2 linked regions of the Pelodiscus sinensis genome follow. The protein of the gene in region 1 purifies or fractionates together with the protein of each later gene. This does not show direct contact. Links are inferred from orthologs where the notes say so. Each region holds a gene or a part of one and is shown in the gene's direction. Other genes may lie near its edges.

Evidence for each region.
Region 2: the proteins of ITGA4 (region 1) and ITGB1 purify together in Homo sapiens (co-immunoprecipitation; 4 studies listed by BioGRID and IntAct, with this or other methods). This does not show direct contact. The link is inferred for Pelodiscus sinensis from reciprocal best matches to the Homo sapiens genes ITGA4 and ITGB1.

The regions. Positions count from the first base shown.
Region 1 is NC_134717.1:48,518,597-48,526,624, forward strand, and holds the start of ITGA4 (integrin alpha-4), read left to right. Parts: upstream 1-4,768; 5' UTR 4,769-5,115; coding exon 5,116-5,306; intron 5,307-5,346; exon of another isoform or gene 5,347-5,551; coding exon of another isoform or gene 5,552-5,679; intron 5,680-5,796; coding exon 5,797-5,918; intron 5,919-8,028. UniProt on the Homo sapiens protein: Integrins alpha-4/beta-1 (VLA-4) and alpha-4/beta-7 are receptors for fibronectin. They recognize one or more domains within the alternatively spliced CS-1 and CS-5 regions of fibronectin. They are also receptors for VCAM1.
Region 2 is NC_134712.1:230,379,849-230,387,980, reverse strand, and holds the start of ITGB1 (integrin beta-1), read left to right. Parts: upstream 1-4,959; 5' UTR 4,960-5,186; coding exon 5,187-5,195; intron 5,196-8,132.

The DNA.
Region 1 (8,028 bases):
CTGGTGTGATTCCCAACCTGGATCCCACTTTAGTTGGTTAACCGGTTAAATGTTAGGTCAACCCAATGTTCAGCCGGTTAACTGATTAACTGAAATTTTACATCCCTACTCCAGGCCAATCCTAGCGGGTTGGCAACCCTAGGATTGACTTTAGCTATGAGACAGAAAGCCTGCAGACACTGTGGCCCTTAGATGGAACAGAGATGGAATGAACAACTTGGGAACACAGATAGTACTGGAAAGGTAGACTTAGAAATTATGAGAAAGGAAACTGACTGCTGTTTGCTTCTTCTGTATGTAAAGAAAAAGGACTGTGTGTATGTTCTTTGTAAATAAACAGGATTGCACCAAAGAAATAACTCTGATCATCGGTTTCCCCCTCTAACAGAAACTCTTCTGCGAGGCCCATAATATTAGCTAACACAGTGTGTCCCCTAAGGGAGAAGTATGTTTGGCATGGCGTGGCAGGATCTGCGCTAGCCCCCATAGGAGGGTGGGAAGGAAGCCCTCCCAGTCCCACTCTGTCTCCCGCTCTACTGTGGTGCCAGCCCCGCTCCAGGTTGTAGTCACTGGGCCCATCTCAGGCTTCAACTCCTGGCTCCAGCTTTGTTCCCAGCCATGGCCCCGATCCTGGCCATGGCTTTGGCCCCTGGCCTCACTGCCGGGGGAAGAGGGGTTCAGACAGATTACTTTATGAGTAAGGGGGACACAGCTTACTTTATGGACCACTGAGCTAACCACACAGTCCAAAAGTAGTAGTTATTTCCTCCTAATGTCTAAGCAACAACTTGGGATAGCAATTTTGAACCGTACATATTCTGCTAATAGTGTTCTCAAGCTGCTCGCAGAATAAGAGAGAAATCTTCCTGGCTCAAACATTTCTGTAAAATGAAACACTGCTATGGAAAATACTTGTGAACAAAGCAAACACACAGAAAATAAGCCCTACTGAATCAGCCAATAGATATCACACATTTTTTTTCCCCCAGTGCTGTTTTGTACGCAACAGATAACATGGCGAACTGCAAGTTTCTGTCCTTTACTCAGTGGGTGCATAAAGCAAAAATTAGCAACTCTGGGAACGTCTAGACTACAAGCCTCTTTCAAAAAAGAGCATCTAGACTACAGCCTGTACTTTCGAAAAAGTGAGCCACTTTTTTGAAAGAGAGCACCCAGGCAGTCTGGATGCTCTCTTTCGAAAAAGCAGTTTGCATTACATAGTGTCTTTATTCAAAAGAGCACTTTTGAAAAAAGGTGTTATTCCTCGCAAAATGAGGTTTTCCATGGTCGAAAAAATTGCCGCGTTCTTTTGATTTACTTTAGAAAGAACGCGGCAGCAGTCTAGATGCAGGGGAAGTTTTTTTGAAAAAAGGCCAGTTTTTTCGAAAAAAACCTGTAGTCTAGACACACCCTTCTAGACTTCACTTCAAAGAGAATCCTCTGAACTGTCATTCATGCTTAAATTCGACACTTTACACGCAAATTTGAATAAAGACGCTAATTATCTTACCCATTACAAAGATAGCTTCCCCAATTATCACCTCTAATATCATTAGCTCACAGACATTTACCTTCCCCTCTTCCCCCCTTCATCCTCCTTCTGTTCTGAAATGTGATTTGTCCTTTTCATATTTGTTCATTTTTTTAATTGTATCCTTTGGTATATATGGTTGTGACAATTTTCTTCCACTATTTGATCTGAGGAAGTGGGTCTGGCCCACAAAACTCATCACATATTAAACCATCTTGTTAGTCTTTAAAGTGCTACATAGTACTGTGTTTTGTTTCAGCTGCACCAGACTAACACGGCTACATTTCTACCACTATTCTACGTGCAAATCTAGACGCTCTTTTCCGCAAATGCTTTTAACGGAAAACTTTACCGTTAAAAGCATTTGCGGAAAATCATTCCAGTCTAGACATAGCCGCTCTGTTCTTGTCTCTCTCCTATAGCACTTATCCAGTGAAGCCTCTATGGTTTGGGAGTCTATTGAGGTAGTAGGGGGCCAGGTCTCGGGAGCACTTACCCAACACAATATATTTATCTCCCAAACCAGAAGAAAAACCTGTAGCAGGAATTAATACAGTATTAACTTTGTCTATGTGCCATTCTATCTCCATAGCATGATACAAGCACTGATGGAAACCAGCCAAAGCTCAAATGTGGGAAGCATTTATTAATCCAGGAAACTTTAAATTATGTATTATTAGTGCCTGCTCCAAGACTATGTCTACACTGAACTCTTGCGCAAGAACACGTCCACATTACCATGTGCTTTTGTGCAAGAGCATCCATGGCAGTGTGGATGCTCTCTTGTGCAAGAAAGCTCTGATGGCCATTTTAGCCATAGGGCTTTCTTGCACAAGAAACCTCTGCTGTGCGTCCACACTGCCCTCTTGTGCAAGAGCTCCTGCGTAAGAGGGCTTACACTTGTTAGAAAAGAGCATAGCTCTTGCACAAGAAGCCCTGTCTTCCAACGTCGTACAGTAATTACTTGCTTAACACGTGCCTGCTTAACACATTTTTGCGATAGCATGATTTGGGGGGGGGAACGTTTTTTGAACAACACGACCGTGCCCAAAATAACATGGTTTCCCCAGCTGGCTGGCCGGTCGCCAGCGGCTGCGGGGGGCTTCCCCCGCCTCCCTGCAAAGCGGTGGAGGGTTCACTGCACGCCATGTCGTTTCCCGGAGACCCCCTCTCACTGGATGCCTTGCTCCCTCTCCTCCAACCCAGCTTGCAGTCTGGCGGCTGGGTTTCCCCATTCCCCACTACTTGAAACATAACTCCCACCTTTTCCATTATTTTTAATGGGAAAATTGACCCACATAACATGTTTTCACTTAGAATCATAGAACTGGAAGAGACCTCAGGAGGTCATCAAGTCCAGCCCCCTGCTCTAGGCAGGACCAATCCCAACGAAATCAACCCGGCCAGGGCTTTGTCAAGCTGAGACTTAAAAACCTCTAGGGATGGAGACTCCACTACTTCCCTAGGTAACCCATTCCAGAGCTTCACCACCCTCTTAGTGAAATAGTTTTTCCTAATATCCAACCTGGATCTCTCCCACCACAACTTGAGATCATTGCTCCTTGTTCTACCATCTGTCACTCCTGCGAACAGCTTCTCTCCATCCTCTTTGGAAGCTCCCTTTAGGAAGTTGAAGGCTGCTATCAAATCCCCCCTCACTCTTCACTTCTGCAGACTAAACAGACCCAACTCCCTCGGCCTCTCCTCATAAGTCATAAACTCCAGCCCCCTAATCATTTTGGTTGCCCTCCGCTGGACCCTCGCCAATGAGTCCACATCCTTTTTGTAGTGGGAGGCCCAGAACTGGACACAATACTCCAGATGAGGCCTCACCAAAGCCGAATAAAGGGGAATAATGACATCTCTGGATCTGCTGGCAATGCTCCTCTTAATGCAACCTAATATGCCATTAGCCTTCTTGGCTACAAGGGCACACTGTTGACTCATATCCAGCTTCTCATCCACTGTAACCCCCAGGTCCTTTTCTGCAGAACTACTACTTAACCGGTTGGTCCCCAGCTTGTAACTATGCTTGGGATTCTTCCGTCCCAAATGCAGGACTCTACACTTGTCCTTGCTGAACCTCATCAGATTTCTTGTGGCCCAATCCTCCAATTTGTCTAAGTCATTCTGGACACTATCTCTGCCCTTAAGCGTATCTACCTTTCCCCCTAGCTTAGTGTCATCCGCAAAGTTGCTGAGGGGGCAATCTATCCCCTCATCCAGGTCATTAATAAAGATATTAAACAAAACCAGTCCTAGAACCGAACCTTGGGGCACTTGCTTTTCCGTTAAAAGCATTTGTGGAAAATCATGCCAGTCTAGACATAGCCTCTGAGTCTCTCTGGCCCCTGGCCCTATTTACTGCTCGAGGCCTGAGCCCCTCCCTCACCCTTCCTCCCTGTCCAAGGGCCCAGTCCAATGCTTCAACCATGCAGGGTGGGATTAGACGGTGGGTGAGGCCTAACCACCAACCACCCCTACCCACTTCCTGCAGCCTCCCCTTCTGTCTATGATTCCACTCCAGTCCAGTCCTCAGCCTACTGAGCCCGAGGTGGGTGGGTTAGGAGAGACACACCCCAGGGGCAGAGGCTAGCAGGGAGAGAATGGGGAAACTGGTATTTTAGGAGGGAGAGGCCAGAATTACTGTTGGGAGGGGGAGGAAGGTTAAAAACTCTTTGGGGAGCTGCCTTGAACTCCAGCTCCTGAAATATTTAGCTGCCCCATCTCCCCCCTGTTCCCCAACTCCTCCTTGTGTCCTGCTGGTTACTTTCCTAGAGAAAGGGGAGGCAGTTGTGTGGCAACTCCTGGGTGACATTTGTTATAAGTGTTAAAGCCTCACATCGCCCCAGCAATAGGAGTGGGGGGGGCTGGGGTGGGAGCACGTGCGGGACGGGAGTGGGGGGGGCTGAGGTGGGAGCACTACGGGACGGGAGTGGGGGGGGCTGGGGTGGGAGCACGTACGGGACGGGAGTGAGGGGGGGCTGGGGCATTGGAGCACGTGAGGGACGGGAGTGGGGGGGGCTGAGGTGGGAGCACTACGGGACGGGAGTGGGGGGGGCTGGGGTGGGAGCACGTACGGGACGGGAGTGAGGGGGGGCTGGGGCATTGGAGCACGTGAGGGACGGGAGTGGGGGGGGGGCTGGGGCATGGGAGCACGTGCGGGACGGGAGTGGGGGGGGGCGGCTGGGGCATGGGAGCACGTGCAGGGTGGTGCAAGGGGCTTACATGGGGGTCGGTGGCTAAAACTGCCCGCACTCCTGGGCCCGGGAGCCTGCAGCTTCCCCAGGGCAAGAGGGACGCATCCATCTGCGGCCAGCAGCGGGGCCGGATTCCCTGCTCTAGCCCCTGACCTGGGGGTAAAGAGGGGAGGGACTCCCATTGATGAGAAACAGCGCCCGGAGCCTGCTGCGCTTTAAACACTGCCCGAGGGGCTTCCAGTTCCGCCCGCCAAAGCCAGGCGCTTTGCCTGCACTTTCTACCCCTCCCCTAGCAGGCTCAGCCCCCAGCGGCAGGGGCTGCTCAGCGCACGAGCCCTGTGCGCTGCAGGCAGCCGGCGGGGCTAGAGCTCGCCGCGCGGCGCCATGCGGGCTTGGGGGGAGCCGCTGAGCGGGGGGCTCGCCTCGGGGGGCGCTGCCGCGTGGGCTGCGCTGCTCCTGCTGGGGGCTGCCCGCGCGTACAACCTGGACACGCAGCACCCCGTGGTCTTCAGGGGGCTCAACGGGACACTGTTTGGCTACACAGTTCTCCTGCACAGCCACGGCGCTAGTCGATGGTAAGTCACCAGCGCTCGCCAGGCGACCTCTCGCTCCCGGCAGCTGCCGGGGGACTTTCCTCGCAGCAAAACGCCAGCGGGTCGTCGCCGGTCTGACTTGGCCATGCCTGCACCTGGCTCCTCGCTCTGTCAGCTGCGGCGCCCCCGGCAAAGGCTTTGCTGCGGTAGGCGCGAGTCCCTGCCAGAGCTTGTCCCAGGGACTGTCCCACTCGGAACCTGGCCCAGCGCGCGCAATCGGGTATCCGATGAAAGTGACGGTGACCGTGCGGCACCCCCCTCCCAGCATTCCCGTTGCAAAGACGCCGAGGAAGTTGGGAAGCAATTTCTTCCCCCGCCACGGGCCCCCATCGCAAAGCAAACGTTTGCACGCGAGGTGGGCGCAGGAGAGCGTGACGCTCTAATTCTCCTGGGTGCTGGTGGGGAGAGGGGTTGCCTCGTGGTGTTTTCATCTCTGTTGACAGGTTTAAAACTCTTTTCTCCTCGCTTTTAGGATGGTCGTGGGAGCCCCGAAAGCCAACTGGTTGGCGAATAGCTCTGTGGTCAACCCAGGTGCAATATTCAGGTGCAGGATCGGGAGCAACCCCAATGGGACTTGTGAGCAGCTCCAGCTGGGTGAGTTGAATGGTATTTGCACCTGAAGATGTTACATCTTCAATGAAGAACGCCAAGCTTGCTTGCCACTTATAGCTGAATGCAGAAAGTAGCCAGCTGCGACAACTCTCTTATTTAGAAGAAGTGAAGTACACGTCTATATTCCCTTGAATCCTCAACAGTTATAACTGACAAAATAAGAAGCAATAGAATTTCCCCAGAAGCATGGTGAAATACTGGACTGTAATAAATGTTCCTTCCTCCACTATTTTGCAAATAGTTTCAAACCCTTTTAGAGGCTGTTTATTGCAAAACTGAATAACATCACCCAATTTTGATCTGACAAAACAAACCTCCTTCAACTTATACCAGCACTTGCAGTAATACAAGAACCTAGAATGCCCTCTATATGCCTATTTCATATTTTCATGTATCATTTTGGTATTGCATAAATTAGTGTTTATATTTACCTTTCAATAACATAAAAGATCAATGCTCTTATGAATTTAGATTAAATTATTTAAAATATAAGTCCTAAAAATCTATATTTTTTTAAAAGTTGGCTTTTTCTTACCAATAAAAAGGACATAAAACTTTTTTTAAAGTAAATTAAAATGACAGTTCCCATTTTCATATTTATTTTTCTTTCCATGTTTTGCTTTCAGCATCTGATTTCAAGTGCTTGTGTGAATTCAAATTAAATCACTGTTATTTCCCCTCCCAAGAAAGTAGTTCCATCTCCTGAACTGAGGGCAACTGTAACTGAAGTCAGTGGGAACAAGAAAAAGTTTCTAGATTATGTTCTGGAGTTTCTCTCTAAAACATTTCACTTCCCAAGCCATCATGAAGTAACTGGAGTGTTTTTTAAGATGAATTATCAGTGGCATACATGCAAGCATATGTATTCTGCTCTCAGTGTATGATTTTTGTACAGGATGCAACAGTCCTGCTAAAGAACACAGGTTGTGCTGAACACTTTTCGCTATGCTCAGCTCTTCTCCTCCTTGACTACAAAGTTCAGTTCCATGTCCAATTCTGTGTTTGTATCCTGTAATAAGAAACATTTATTCAATTGGTCTGATCTACCTGAGAGATCCTCTCTCCTGTGTCCCTTGTGATCCACTGAAACCATGACACTTAGCCAATGGGGGAGGTTTGGGAGTGTGGGAAATAGTTTTCAAAGGACCTGGTCTATGAGGCTTGTTCCTGCAAGACATTACTTACTGTCAAAAAGAAGTACTGTTTGCTTTAGCTTGCCTTTCCTTTCACTGTTCCTACATGTAAGCCAACATCTTCACACTGTCCCAAAACAACAGATTAATTAACTAAACCTATTTTCTTATACGCGGGGGGAGGGGGGGAGTAAATTTTAAATAGGGGGAGGGGTGCTCCATTATTATGTTGATTGACCTATATAAGTAGGTATGTGAGAGGGTGAGAGAAAAGAGAATGAGTTTTTATTTGAACAATAAAACATGCCTTCTTCACACTGATCCAGTGGATAGACGATGAGCCTAGACAATTTCAAACTAGAAATAAGGCACACCTTTTGAACGAGGTGGGTTATTAACTATTGGAACAGTTTGCCAAGATGTCTAGTCTGTTCTCCATTACTAACAATTTTTGAAACAAAATTGGAGGTTTTCATTAAAACTTTAGGCATTATTTTAGGAGGTTTTATGTCCTGTGTTACACAGACTAGATGATCACAATCGTTCCTTCTGGCCTTGGGAATCTGTGAATATGTGCATTTGTAAGTGATTCTCTTTCTTGGGAGTTTGGCAGTGAAAGTGGATGAAGTAAAAATACAGTAGATACTCAAGGATATGGCTCTCTAAATTAACGTAAAAACTTACACAATGAATAGTCTTGCAGCATCTTAAAGACTAACAAAATATGTAGATGGTGTCTTGAGCTTTCTTGGGCACAACCAACTTCTTCCCTCAAACCTTTAAATTAAAGTAGATTGGGGTTAAAGCAACTGAGGAACCTCTGGAAGCAAGAATGTTAGTTTTGGCTGTGGTTATTGCACTTTTCTTTTTGGATCATCCTCTTCATTTATATGTCAATCCTAAATTGACGTTGTGACTCTGTGAGGTAGACTGAAGTGACACATGGAGCTACATAAGGT
Region 2 (8,132 bases), on another chromosome or scaffold:
GCACTTCTGGGGAAGGACTCATAATTGCTCTTGCAGCTTCCCTTTACTTCTCCATCAGAAGTAATTTTTCTGCATGGAAGCAAAGAAATCTGCAAGGGCCCATGAATTCTGCACATGCAGTGACACAGAATCCTCCCAGGAGGTTGCAAAGACCAGAACTTTAACAGGGTTCAAGAATGAACTAGATAAATTCATGGAGGTTAAGTGCATCAATGGCTATTAGCCAGGATGTCCCTAGCCTCTGAGAGGCTTGGAATGGGTGATGGGAAAGGGATTGCTTGATGATTTCCTGTTCTGTTCACTCCCTTTGGGGCATATGGCATTGGCCACTGATGAAAGACAAAATACTGGGTTAGATGGACCTTTGGTCTGACCCAGTATGACCATTCTTATGCTCTTAAGGAATTAAGTTGTGTTAGGAGAGGTAAAAACAACAGTTTAATCAATTTGTAGAATCCTTATCTTGAAATTCTAAAGCTTTGCGACTATCAGATGCTAATGTATATTGCAATATACAATTAATTTTCCTAAATTTTTATTTTCAGGCAAAAGATTGTTTAAAATAATGCTATAAGTCAGGGATCCTGGCTATTGTCTGAGAATCTGATTTATAATTATCCTTTCTTATTTATTTGCGAGAAATTCTATATCAATTTCAATAGGAAAAAATAAATATATTATCTTCTATTTGCTCAATAACATGTGGAATTTCAAGTACTCATCAGAAATTAGGATTTGTCTTATAGGACCCATTCCTGCTAGATGATGAACATTGTAAAACCAACAGGAGTTGAGAATGGCCACCTTATCATAGGAAGGTGCTACACACCATGGGAAACCAGGATTATAGCGAACAAAGCCTTGTAAATATGTTGTCAACTCTAGTTCTCCAACTAGGCACCAAGTATTTATTGACTCACTCCACTCAGATCCTTGTCCTAGGCTGGAAGCCTAACTCTGATGTAAACCGACAACTCCATAATGGCCACATTTTATGATGTTGACTAGCTGCCTGGCTAAATTCACTTACCTACTCTCAGGCTACATCTATACTGCAGCCTGCTTCCACAAAAGCTTATGCAAATGAAGCACAGAGTAGAATATCACTGCACTTCATTTGCATAATTAATTAGCAGCAGTTTGTGCGCAAGAGGCTTTAGTGCAAAAAATGAGGAAGAACGGCTCTTGCACAAGAGGGTGTTTTTGCGCAAAAAGGTGCCGTCTACACAGCTCCTTTTTGTGCAAAAGTCTCTTGCACAAAAAAGACTGCTAATTGCTTATGCAAATGAAGCATGGTGATATTCTACTCCACACTTCATTTGCATAAGCTGTTGTGGAAGAAGGCTGCAGTATAGACGAAGCCCCCAAGAAGTGTTATCATTAGAGAAGAGAAGAAACAAAAAGAGGCTCTGATCAAAAGTATTACTGCAACTCTCTAGCATCATCACTTCCTGGACAAAGTGACCATGCTTTCTAATAATAATTTCTGCCTAGCATCTTCTTCATTCTTATCCTCTAGGACACATTACTCCCTTCCTGTTGGAGATATCCAGTGTTTTCCTTCTGAAAACTCTTCTGTGTTCTAGGAATGTTAAGGACTAGTTGACTAGTCCACTATCCGATAAGCAAATGTCCAATAAGCGGCAGCACTGCATAGCTGATCCGAGGGTCCATGGGGTGCTGCCCCTTTGAAATATTGCAGCATTTCAAAGTGGTGGCACTGCCTCTTTGAAAAACCACGGTGTTTCAAAGGCGAGCACCGCACGGAGCCCAGGATCAGCTGTGTAGTGCTGCCCCTTTGAAATGATGCAGCAGAGTTTCAAAGGGGCAGCGCTGCCCTGTCAACTAATCAAATAGTTCATGCAAAAATGCATCAACTATTCAATTCGTGAATTACTCGATACTTAACATCCTTACTATGTTCCCGCTACAAAAGTACAGAATCGAGGCACATAGTAACAATAGACAAGATACCCTGGATAACTCTGCTCTCAGTGAAAGAACTGGAAAATAAAAGTGCTGATACTACAGAGACAGTGTGATCCAGTGGATAGAGCACTGGACTGACTTTCAAGAGACCTGGCTCTGTTACTGACCTGCAAAGTGATATCAAGAAAGTTACTTGGATTCTCTCCTTCCTCTTTCACTTTTTGGCTTGTTGATTTAGACTCTAAACCCTTCAGAGCAGAAACGGTGTCTTTCTTTTGTACAGTATCTAGCACAAGGAGGTTCTGATTTCTATTAGAACCACTAGCTGCTACTTTAATATAAATAATAATTATTAATACTTATATAGTACTTTACAACATCAAAGCAATTTGCAAAGACTAAATAACTATTCCTCAGTAGGCAAACAAGTATAATTATTCCATTTTACTGGTGAAATTGAGACAAAAAGGGTATGTCTACACAGCAAAGAAAAAAAACCACACCGTGTGAAAAGGTCCTAGAGCTGAGGCTCCAACCCAAGCTCAGAAGTCTAAACACCAATGAAACAGCCTTATAACCCAAACTCCCTGAGCCAGGTCAGCTGGCATGGAACTGTTGTGAGTTTTTCTTGTTTGTGTAGACATACCCAAAGAGATCAGAGGTTCTCAAACTGTGTTTCATGGAGCACTGACAGTCAATAGAGCACTTGCTGGTGGTCCACAGAGCTGGCTCTTCCTTTTTACTGCCAACCCTTAAACTGCATTTAAGAATAGCTTTAAAAACATGAAACACTTTTCTAAAATTACTCTTCATGTAAGCAATTACTGTAGTTGCCACATGAGTGTTATGCAGTGAAACACAGAAGGAAATGGTCTGCACAGCCATTAGTGGGAGCATGGAACAGTTTCTGTATTAAAATGTAGTCCATGAATGAAATTTTCAGAACCCCATAGATAAGAACCAGTGGTTAGATGAATTCATCTATCTCTAATGGTTAACTAAACCAAATGTGCCTAAGAAACCCAATACAGGCAGTGCCCGGGTTACGTACAAAATAGGGTCTGTAGGTTTGTTCTTAAGTTGAATCTGTATGTAAGTCGGAACTGGCATCCAGATTCAGCCGCTGCTGAAACTGATCAGTTTCAACAGCGGCTGAATCTGGACACCAGTTCCGACTTACATACAGATTCAACTTAAGAACCCCAGGCGTCCCCAAGTCAGCTGCTGCTGAAACTGATCAGCAGCTGATTCCAGGAAGCCCAGGGCAGAGCAACTCTGCCTCCGGCTTCCTGTAGTCAGCCACTGGTCAGTTTCAGCAGCGGCTGACTTGGGGACGCCTGGGCAGAGCAGCTCGGGTGCTGCTCGGGAGCACGGCCGCTCCTCGGCGCTACTGGACCAACCCAGCAGCACCCCAGCTGCTCTGCCCCAAGCGTCCTGATTCAGCCGCTGCTGAAACTGATCAGCAGCGGCTGAATCAGGACTCCTGGGGCAGAGCAGCTGGGGTGCTGCCGGGTTGGTCCAGTTAAGCTAAGGAGCGGTGCTGCGGGACCAACCGGCAGTGCCCCACCTGCTCTACCACAGGCCCCGGGCTTCACTCCACGTCTCCCTGGTCTGCTGGGGGGGGCACTAGCTGCGTCCCCCCCCAGCAGACCAGGGAGATGCGGAGCAAAGCGGCGGAGGACCCGGGCCGGACCGTGGCACTTCCAGATCAGCTGGAAGCGCCGCGGGTCCAGCCCCGGGTCCTCCGCCGCTTTGCTCCCCGTCTCCCTGGTCTGCTGGCTCCCCCAGCAGACCAGGGAGACAGGGAGCAGCTTTTCTCGCCCCGGAGGAGGCGGGCAGCGGGACCAGGTGTCCCGCCGTTCCAGTCCTCCGGGGCGAGAAAATCTCCGTTCGTAACTGAGGATCCGACATAAGTTGGATCCACGTAACTGGGGGACTGCCTGTACACAAAAGATGCAGGCATGGCCTGAGGCGGGCTGCGGCAGCTGGCAGCCCAGGAGGAATGCGTGATCAGTGCCCCCGCCTGCATGGCTGTCAATGGAGTGACGTCATCATCAGGCTCCTCATTGAAGGAGGCACCCTAGGCGATGGCCAAGTCGGCCTATAGTCATGGGCCGCCACTGAAAAGATGTCACACATATTAGTGATGTTAAATTTTGATTAATCAGCTAATTGAGTAGTCTCCATCGACAACTTGTATTAGTCAATAAGGGGGGAGGGATAGCTCAGTGGTTTGAGCATTGGCCTGCTAAACCCAGGGTTGTGAGTTTAATCCTTGTGGAGGCCATTTGGGGCAAAAAATTTGTCAGGGATGGTGCTTGGTCCTGCTATGAAGGCAGGGGACTGGACTCAATGACCTTGCAAGGTCCCTTCCAGTTCTAGGAGATAGGCAATCTCCATTAATTTAATTTAGGGGTGAGTAAGATGCTCCCTATTCCCACTTGTGTCTTTTAAATGTAGTAAGGGGCCCACTGGGGCTCTGACTACATTTAAAAGTCAGAGGCACAGCAGGGAACCTGTAGTGAGCTGGGATTCAAGCAGTTTGGTGGGGGAGAAGAGCCCCTCTGGATGGTCTAGGCACCATGTCTGCAAACATGTCCCTCCCCCTGCTACCAGAGTCCCTTTTTAACCAGACTTTCCCTACTTTCCAACTAGGAAGGATAGACACTTTCTCTCTTAGCCACGGGTCTCATTCCATCACTTGGAACCAGGTGAGGAGGCCGCAAATAAGCCGCCGCCGCCGCCACACCAAACATCGCGCAACTGGCAATGAAAATCTGGCGCGTTGGCAGCCCACACTGCCGCAACCTGGCGGGGGGGAGTCCCTCACGCTTTGCCAGCAGCCCGGGCAGAGCGGTGCGAGGGCGAGCGGCGCTGCAGGGGCGGGATTGTCCCGGGAGGTAGGGGAGTTGGCCCAGTGCCCTGTTCCCAGCTCCGGGCCCTTCCCGCCCAGAGCCCACAGGGCACCGATCCCTCCCCCGGCCCTAGCTGCGCGCTCCCCCGCCCACTGGCGGGGCCTGACGGCAGCAGGGAGGAATGCGCTTCCGGAGGCGGAGGAGGAGCGGCGCGGCTGGGCCCGCACCCAATTCCCACCCCCTGCGGCCCGCACACAGGGCGCCCAGCGAGCTGGACGGAGGGAGCGGCGCCGGGCTCCGCGACACGCAGGGAACCGCGCCAGGGCTCCCGGGCATCCGTGGGGACAGACCTGAGCCAGCCGGGCTCCGAGCGCGCTTCTGCCGCCGCCTTCTCCCGCGGCCATGGCCAAGGTACGGGGCCGGGGGCCGCGCTCGCTGCGGGGGCGGGTTTCCGCCCGCTTGTGCCGCGGGCCAACATGCCCCCTTGTGCGAGGAGCCCGAGCTCCCGGGAGAGACGGGGGGGGGGCTGCCTGGGGCCCCCAGGTACGCGGGGCTGGGCCCCCTCCCGAGCGGGCTGGTGCAGGGCACCGGCCGCTGCTGCCCCGGCCCAGTCTGGGGGCTAATGTGTGCGGCGCCACCCGGCTCGGTGCTGGGTCTGGGCCGCGCGGGGAGCCAGTGCCGCCCACCTTCGGGAAGCGCCAGGGCTGGCTCCGGGTTCGCTGCAGGGCGGGGCTGCCCCTCACCGGGCCTGGCCCGTGTCAGCCTGGCCCAGGGCTCCCGGCCCTAAAGCCAGACAAGGACATGCCCTGGCCCTTTGTCCGCTGCCGCCCAGCCATTCAACTCCTTGGGGCTCGGCCGCAGGGCTTGCCCGTGCGGAGTGGCCGCTACATACCCCGTGGCACTTTCCATAAGGTTGGGCGCTTTGTCCCGGGCCTCCCTGAAAGGAGGGAGGGTGGGGGCTCATCTCCTCTGCTCCTGCCTTGTGAAGGGTGCTGTAAGCACCGCTGCTTCTCAGTGGCGTTTGTGAAATGCAGTGGGTGTCTTGAGACTGTGGAAGTTCAGTCTTAATCCTCGTTCACTCCAACAGTACTAGCTAACTTCTTAACACACTTGGATGTGTTCCTAAGGTGCAGTAGAAAAACAGTTAAAAGACAAGGTCTTTCCCTGTCCCGAAAAAGTTTTAGACAGGAAGGCAACAGGGAAGGAAGGCTTGAGCAAAGACCGAGCCACAGTAAAAAAAAAAAAAAAAAAATCACAGAGAGCCTCCTAGATCTGCAAATTCTATTATGTTAAAAAAAAAAAAAAAAAAAAAAAAAAAAAAAAAACTTGAGAGGGATTGCTATTTTGGATTTTGTGGTTTTCTTTAAGTACTTTGAGTAATGCCACTGACCAAGTGAATTCAGAAATATCTAGATTTAAATAAGCCTTTTGAAATCATGAGGCCGTGGTAATAAAGATATACTTTATATTTCCGCCCTACTGATGATTCACGCTCCTGTCACAAAAATTACTTACCTCAGGCAAATCATTAAGTAGCATTGTGTAATGCTCCTTAAAGCTATATATATAAAACTTGTGGAAATAGGGAACAACTAGTAATAAGTAAGTGAGATCAAATGAATTAAGGATAAAACAGTGTTAACTTTTGTCCTTTAAAATGTTTGAAATTAAATTAGGGCTGTGGAGCGATTAAAAAATTAATTGTGATTAATTGAGTTGTTAAACTAACAGAATACCATTCATTTAAATATTACATATTTCAAAAATATTGATTTCAATTAGAACATAATACAAAGTGCACAGTTCTCACTTTATATTTATTTTTTATTACAAATTCTTGGACTGTAAAAAAAAAAAAGTATTTTTCAATTAACCTAATATAAGTACTCAGGGGGTAGAGACTGTTACTTAAAAAACTAGTGGTCTTGTAGCATCTCAGTGACTAACAAATATATATTATGAGCTTTCGTGGGCTTTCTGAAGAAGTGGGTTGTGCCCACAAGACCTTCTCATGATAATATATTATTTTTGTTAGTCTCCAAGATGCTACAGGACTACTCATTTTTCATTTTTTAAAATACAAATACTGTAGTGCAGTCTCTTTATCAAGAAAATTAAACTTAAGTGTAGAATTGTGTACAAAAAACTGCATTCAAAAATAAAACAATGTAAAACTTTAGAATCTACTTGTTCAGCCAGTCATTCAAACAAACAAGTTTGGGTTATTTGCAGAAGATAATGTGGTTTGCTCTTGTTTACAAAATCACCTGAAAGTGAGAACAAATGTTTCCATGGCACTGTTGTAGCTAGCATCTCAAGATATTTACGTACTAGATGTGCTAAAGACTCATGTGTCCTTTCATGTATCAGCTGTCATTCCAAAGGACACGCATCAGTGACCATGATGGGTTCTATTAAATAGCAATTCAAAGCATCTGAGTCAGGTGCCACCAACAGAAGGTTGATTTTTTTTTTTTTTTTTTTTTTTTTGGTGGTGGTGGTTCAGTTGTTCCCTGTCGGAGTGTTGCTCTTTTAAGACTTCTGAAAGCAGGCTCTATATCTCATCCCTCTCAGATTTTGGATGGCATTTCAGATGCTTAAATCTTTGGTTGAGTGCTGTAGAAATCTCACATTGGTATCTTCTTTACATTTTGTCAAATTTGCTGTGAAAGTGTTCTTAAAGTGTGCTAGGTCAGCATTAGAGCCTTAGATAAAAAAATGTGGATCTTCATCCCCTTGGTGCAACTCCTCCCTAGCTCAGTGATTTTCAAACTGCAGTCCACAGACCGCTAGTGGTCCACAATCACCTTGCAAATGGGCCACAAGTCAAAACTCAGCCCCTTCCCCTGCAACAAGGAGTCTATGCTGGTGCTCCAGTCGTGCTCTTCCCGTATCCCCATGAGATTGGAATGCCAGCACCAGCTTCCTGTTGGGGGGAGGTAGAAAGCCCAGAGGTTTGCTGCTGGATCCGGCCTGTGAGTGGAGCAAGCAGCTCTGCATACTGCTGCTCCCCGTTCCTCTGGCTGGAGGAACAGTGGCACACAGACACACTGCCTGGAGGCTTTCCCCACTGCTCCCATTGGCCGAAATTGTGATACAGTAATTGGGAACAGTGGAAAGCATGCCTCGAATGCAGTGGCTGGGAGTGGCACCTGGGAGCAGCGTGGGGTTCAAAGCCTGGTAACACCCAGCCCGCTCCTTCACCTTCCCTTGCTCCCCCACCGTTCCTCCTGGCCAGTCACTGCACCTTACCTGCAGCCCACTACTGCATAGTCCCCCTGTCCAGACAGCCTACCCCCAGCCTCCTCTGCACCCTTCCTCCCTCCCAGACCTCGCACCCTCACCCCC